Linked DNA regions of Coturnix japonica. The protein of the gene in region 2 purifies or fractionates together with the protein of the main gene of each other region. This does not show direct contact. Links are inferred from orthologs where the notes say so. Each region holds a gene or a part of one and is shown on either strand. Other genes may lie near its edges.

Evidence for each region. The genes of interacting proteins can lie anywhere in the genome.
Region 1: the proteins of PGM1 (region 2) and GRHPR fractionate together in Homo sapiens (co-fractionation; 3 studies listed by BioGRID). This does not show direct contact. The link is inferred for Coturnix japonica from reciprocal best matches to the Homo sapiens genes PGM1 and GRHPR.

The regions. Positions count from the first base shown.
Region 1 is NC_029547.1:66,763,202-66,766,072, forward strand, and holds the end of GRHPR (glyoxylate reductase/hydroxypyruvate reductase), read right to left. Parts: intron 2,695-2,871; coding exon 2,564-2,694; intron 916-2,563; coding exon 794-915; 3' UTR 630-793; downstream 1-629. UniProt on the Homo sapiens protein: Enzyme with hydroxy-pyruvate reductase, glyoxylate reductase and D-glycerate dehydrogenase enzymatic activities. Reduces hydroxypyruvate to D-glycerate, glyoxylate to glycolate, oxidizes D-glycerate to hydroxypyruvate.
Region 2 is NC_029523.1:25,078,996-25,082,705, forward strand, and holds part of PGM1 (phosphoglucomutase-1), read left to right. Parts: intron 1-2,358; coding exon 2,359-2,494; intron 2,495-3,710. UniProt on the Homo sapiens protein: Catalyzes the reversible isomerization of alpha-D-glucose 1-phosphate to alpha-D-glucose 6-phosphate. The mechanism proceeds via the intermediate compound alpha-D-glucose 1,6-bisphosphate.

The DNA.
Region 1 (2,871 bases), on a different chromosome or scaffold from region 2:
TATGCACAGCAATTTCAGTGCAAAGTGCTGTGTAACAGCAAAACGTTCAACACTGAACCCTCCCTATATGGGCTGTCTAGAAGATCCTGGTCAGTGTCTGCTGGACTTGGGTGGGTACGGGCCAGGGAAGAGAGGAAATGAGTGACACAGATGAATTGGTACAGTAAAAGAATGTAAGCAGAGCTGCCCTCATCCTCATCCATGTGTCACAGATGGGGAAGATGAAGGCATGGTCACTGAGACAGCCAGCTGTGAGCACTCACTGGGAGCTGGGACAAGACTAAGCTCTGGTGGGCCCTCAGCACGTTGCACTCAGTAACAGGGTGGCTGTGTGCAGGGAATGCACTTTTTGATCTTAGAGGTCTATTCCTACAGTAATAGATGCTATAATGCAGACGAGGTCAGTGGGCACAGTGAGGGTGGGCTGGGTTGGCCTTGGGGATCTTAGGGTCTTTTTCCAACCTTAACAGTTCAGTGATGCTGTGATTCTGGATGAGAACTGAGAGCTCCAGAGCAGAGCTGAGGGGCCACCTCACACTCACGCACCAGCATTTATCTCCCCCATTTACAAGCACTTGAGACACCAATGGCTGGAGGCGTCTCCTTCCCAAGTGAAAGGCACACACCACTGTCACTGCTTCTCTTTAATTGCTATGGTGCAGTTCTCTTGCCATGGATGCTGTTGACTCCTCACTTGCAGAGCAGGGGCACAGGACCCACCTGCCCACTACCCCAGGCTGGCACACGATGCTGCATCCCTCACGGTGACCTGGTGGTGATGCTGGTCCAGCCCTCACAGCAGCAGCTCGTGGGGCATAGGCTCGCCCCGCAGGCCAGCCAGCAGGTTGTCAGCAGCCAGCACAGCCATGGTGCTCCGTGTCGCATAGGTGGCACTCCCGATGTGTGGCAGGATCACTGTGGGCAAAGAAAGGGTCACATCTGACAGACAATCCAAACTAACCCATCTATGGGTGAAGGCCAGCAGGCAGCAGTGCTCCTCCTTTCCACATCCAGACTTGGTACTCAGCTCCCTGCACAGACACAATGCGTGGCAGATGACAGAGAAACATGCAGAAAATCTCACACTGTGGCCTCATTACTGCACACCTCCACTCTCGTACAGGTACAAACCAATGCATACTGGGGCAACAGCCTGAGAACTGCTCAGGATATTGGGACCTGCAGGCTCCTGGGTGTGCTGGAAAGGTACGTGTGATGGCCAACAGCCCCTACAGAGTGCAGAGCTATGGCATGGTCAGGGCAGGGCAGGCTGTCCAGGCCCACATCCAGGCAGCTTTTGGTGATCTCTGAGGATGGAGATCTCCACAACCTCTCTGGGCAACCTGTGCCATTACTCTGACACCAGCAAAATGCAACCCACTCCTTTTAGGTAATGGTAAGAACCACGCCAAAGCTGCTTTAATGGCATGATTAGTACATCAGCAATGGCTGGGTACTTGCCCAAGCTAGAGAAAAGACTGCACTGCAGTCTCTGTCCATTTTAAAACAGACAGCACCTGTGGGGAGGGTGGAAACACAAAAACCTGACACACTGCTGAGTGAGGGAGGTGGGAATTGGCTTCTGCTCCCAGGTAACAAGATGAGGGGTGATGGCTTCAAGTTGTGCCAGGGGAGGTTCAGGTTGGATATTAGGACAAACTTCTCAGAAATGAAGTGGAACAGGTTGCCAAGGCAGGTGGCAGAGTCACCTTCCCTGCAAGTGTTAAAAAAACATGGTGATGTGGGACTGAGTGACGTGGTTTGGTGGGGATGGGTTGATGGTTGGAGGTGCTAATCTTAGTGGTCTTTTGCAACCTTAATGATCGTGTGATTCTACTATTTCAGAAATGGACATCCAGTCATGGGCACAACCACACTTTCCCCATTGACCTCCCAACAGTTTGTCTACTGAAGAGATTTTTCCTCATATAAAAATGTCCTTCCTTAACAGAGGAATCTTGCTGCCTTCTGCACCCTCATGCAGAATTTTGGTCCTTCAGATGAAGGCATATGCACAGGGTTTCAGATTTAGGTTGCAGCATGACCAAACCAAGCACTCAGGTGCACAAGAGGATGTTGTCCATCGGCTCAGAGCACAGGAGATTGCCCAGATGAAGCATGGATGGCTAGGTAGGAACAGGCACCCTGCCATGCTAACAGCAACAGAGCTGCCAACAACCAGAGTTACTCTTTGCTTAGAAACCAGTGTTTCCACTGTGTTCCATTTCTGCCTCCAGATCTGCCTTGCCTGTGACCGAGATTACGGAATGCAGATCCATCTGAAAGATGTTAAAAGACAAGCCAGTCTCAATTGCTTTCTGGACTACTGAAATATCTCCCAAGATTATTTTATCTTGCACTGACTCTCCACATAGCACAACTGTTGCCTAGAAGCTGCTTAAATGCACGACCTTCCTTTCTGCCACAAACACTGAAGCTCTTGTTCACCATCTGCAGGCCCCCAAGGAAATTAGCCAGCAGGTCCTCTGCCTTGACAACGGAGACGGCTCTCCAAGCAGGAGGGGGCAGGGCAGGGACCAGGGCAGCCAAACACACCACTCACCACAGTTCTTGAGTTTGAGCAGAGGGTGGTCGGTGGGCAGTGGCTCCGGCGTTGTGACATCCAGGCCTGCAGCTGCAATTTGGCCACTGACTAATGCATCATACAAATCTTCTTGGTTCACCACAGCCCCTCTGGAAAAAAAACAGGAAGATGGGCTTGCACAGCTCCAGTCAGGCAAGTCCCCACAGTCATCTGCACATCCATCCCATTGGGGCTGGACACACGGACACAGCCCTGGGCAGGGACAGTGCCTGTCCACAACAGTCAAATCAACCTGACTCTGTATCCCAGGAGCCCTCACAATGGAG
Region 2 (3,710 bases):
GGTGGCCAGGAAAACCTTCTAAATGTTTTCATTTCTGGAAAGAAATATGGTTTGGAGTATGCAGTTTTATTAGGGAAGGTTTCAGGTCACTATTAAATCTCCGAGCTTAATAGGGCCCTCATTTTCCTGTTCTAAAAACAAGGTATGATTTATAAAGTTTAAATTAACACTTGCCTTTGAACAGTCAAAGCAAGTTATTGGGTTACTGAGAAACAAAGCGGACATCTTAAGGAATTCACCAGGGGTGCACGTGTGATGCACGGCTGTTATTTGTGCGGGCTCCACGCCGTGCCTGAAACGTGGCCACGGTTTGTCTTGCCTGGTTTGTCCTTGAGATCTTGTTGTTCTGTTGTGTGAAGTCCTCAGGACAGTGGGGCAGCCAGAGGTGCGGGCCTTGGGGGGGATCTAAGTGGGATGATTGGGGTCAAACCTTGCATGTTTCCATCCCACCGCCTCATATTTTAGCCTGCTCTTAGGTGTTTCGTGGAGCAGGACTGGCTTCAAATCCTCAAATACCAGATATAGTGCTTTGTGGATCTCGGTCACAAGATGTTACCACCTCAGCTTTTTGGTAGCTGAGGACATGGCACTGCAGACTGGCTGGAGGCTGCTGGCCATGAGGCTGAAGAAGTCACCAGGACAAAACTTTGCAATCAAATGCTATTCTAATCAACAGAATTAGGCCCCAGTGTGGAACAAAAGGGGAGTTTTGGATAACATGGTATCTTTGTAAAGATATCTTGAGGGTAAATGTGAGCATAGAAAGATTTTGGAGTTTAGCCCCGAATGGTTTCAGCATGCGTTAAGTTTATGTTGCAGCCTTTAGCTGATGAGAGTGGCTCAGCATTTAGAAAATACAAACAACAGCAGCAAATGATTCATGGAGCTGCTGATAGGAGCTGGGCTCTAACGAGCAGCTCTCTGAAATTGCTTCCATCTTCTGTCGCATGTGCCATGAGCTCATGGTTTCTCTCCAGCCCATGGTTGGTAGGCGACTACATCGCCAATAAAAGTGACTGAAACCACTTGCAATGGGGCTGAGAGGGAGGTTGGGTGTTTTGGCTGTGCTGCATCACACCTGGGCTGCATCTTGGGGTGGCTTTTGGGGGAATACTGTGAAGGAGCTGGGGCAGCCTGTGCTGGGCTCCCTGCAATGCAGAGGGCGTTTGCCTGTCTGGGAAAGGCCCTTTAAAGAATGAATTGGGATGAGGGAGGTTGTTCGATAGCAACTTAATGAGGAGTTGTTTGGAGTCTGACAGTGTGAGTGCTGAATGGGAGCAAGGTGAAAGAGCAGCCAAAGAGACCCAGTAAAAATTGAAACAAACTGCGACCCGGCGGGACCAGAGTCCAGCAGCAATTAGAGTAATGCGACGTGACAGAATTCCTGCTTGCTTTCTGGGGTGTTTTATTCCAGCAATAAGTTGATACATCACATGGGACTCCTGTTTATTTAGCATTCCTCTCCATCACCTCTGTGCAGCTCTCAGCTGTGCAGGGCTGTGAGGATAATTTACCACCGCATCCACAATGTGGGGTTTGTGTCTCGCACCGCATGGCCCCAGCTGATTCTTTGGGGGGTGAAATGGTGGCTCTGGCCAACTCTCTCCATTGGCAGGTGTGCCCCGGCTCCTTGGGGTTTTGGTAATACTAACCTGGATGTTTTCCAGAGCCCAAAGGATAAAACCCAGAAGCTGTGCATTGAGCCCAGCACTGAGCTAACCAGGCAGGAAGGTGTAGGCTGGATTGGGTGTGCTCTGGCTGCTCTTGGATCCCACACTGAACTCTGGTGTTTGGGGCTGGGTTGAATTGATCTTCCTGTGTGAATGAAGTCCTCACGCTGCTGCCCATGTGTTTGCCATGTTCCCCAGCACCCTGCAGTCTTGGAGCCGTTAGGGTTTGGCTTCCTTAGCGAGGGCTGGCATTTCTCTTGGTGCTCAGCCAGTGTCTGCACCATCAGGGTATACTGATTTGACAGACAACGAGTGACAGCTGCTCAGAGATGCTGATGGTAGTTCTCGAGCTGCTCCTTTGCATTTGCCTATTTATTTATTTATTTATTTCAATGACCTTTTTAGTGCACATTCCCCATTGCTTCCTTGGGAACAGAATGAAGGATCTGTGAGTAATGAGTGTGTCTTAAAGGGAACTGAGTGTTTTATTTGGGCTATAGCTGAAAGCAGATGATATCTTGAACTGCTTTAACAACCCACAAGCATCCAGCTTGTGAAATGCCTTCCATTTGTGGAGCTGTACTACTGCCAGCTTGGTGGAGGAGCGGAGGTGAAGCAGAGCTGTGCTCAGGCTCTGGCCTGGCAGGAGGAGGACGATGTGACATGTCTGTGCTGTGACTCTCTGCAGGCTCTGACCACATCCGTGAGAAGGATGGGCTCTGGGCTGTCCTGGCCTGGCTGTCCATCCTGGCTGCCCGCAAGCAGAGCGTGGAGGACATCATGAAGGATCACTGGCAGAAGTATGGCAGGAACTTCTTCACCAGGTGAGGAAGTGCTCCGGGCACCTCGTCCTTCTGTCCGCCCTGTGGCCGACCAAGGATGAGCCCTTGTGGAGGAGCTCAGTAACCTGAGCATCAGCAGCACCAGCCTTGCTACCACAGCAGTTTCTGCCTTGTTGCACTTGCTCTTTCTGTGGAGTTTCAGTGGTTTGAGGCTCCCTGTCTGGTTTGTGCAGCTTCTCTGGGTCCAATAAACCTGTGGGTATTCACCTTAACCTTTCATGGCGTCCAGTTTAGAATTTGTTACTCTGAATACAATTTATTCAGTATCAAACTCTGTGAAGGTTGTGCAATTCTTATATCCAATAGGTAAGCTTTTTTGTTTTTTATTTAATAGAGATCTTTTCTTGCAAGAATTTTTCCTGCTTTTAGAACAGTCTGCTTCTTTAGTTTACATCATACAAATCGGTTTGTAATATCTTGAGTGATGGCTTTGCCTCACTGAATGGGCACCCAGCTCCTGGGCAGCTTTTTACCTGGTTGGATTTCTTTCCAGTTCCAAAATACTCTTTAATTTACTCTACTATAGACACAGGAGATGAAAAAGCAGAACTGACCTGCACTGAGCAGAAGAGGGGGATGCTACCTGCAGTGAGAGCAGGAGGTAGAAATCTTTCACTTTGGCAGACCTCTGTGAAATTTCTGTTTCCAATTGCCAAATGTAAGAACCTGCCTTTTCCTTTTTATTATTTCCATCCTACAAAGCCAGCATACATCTAAGGCATTTAAAGCTACGGAAAAAATGCCAAAATCTAGTATAAAAAGGTAGTCTTCAAGCACCAGAGGTATGTCTGCATAGCAGGCTGGGTGCAGTGGCAGGCCACTAACAAGCCTGTGCATGCTCTGTCTGGCTAGGTGTGCAAATCACACTGGCAATCGGAGTACCAGGTCTCAGGTCCTCGTCTGTGCATGTGCTGGAGTGGCTGCTCTTTCTGCTTCTCTTACTTACGTTAGCTAGATCAGAGCTGGCACTGACTGTTATCATATGCTGCAATCACACCTTTGCTTTGCTGTGGGGACACACTGAGGTGCTCAGGCAGAACTGTTATCAATCAAGAGGAGCCTGTTGAGATCCTATCAGAGGAATTGGGATAAATGCTTTACAGCCAGTGTTGCTGGAATCTGGTCCTCCATCTACCTCAGTCTTAGATGTATCTGAGATAGGTTGCTGTGTATCCCACAGATTAGTGCTGCACCCACA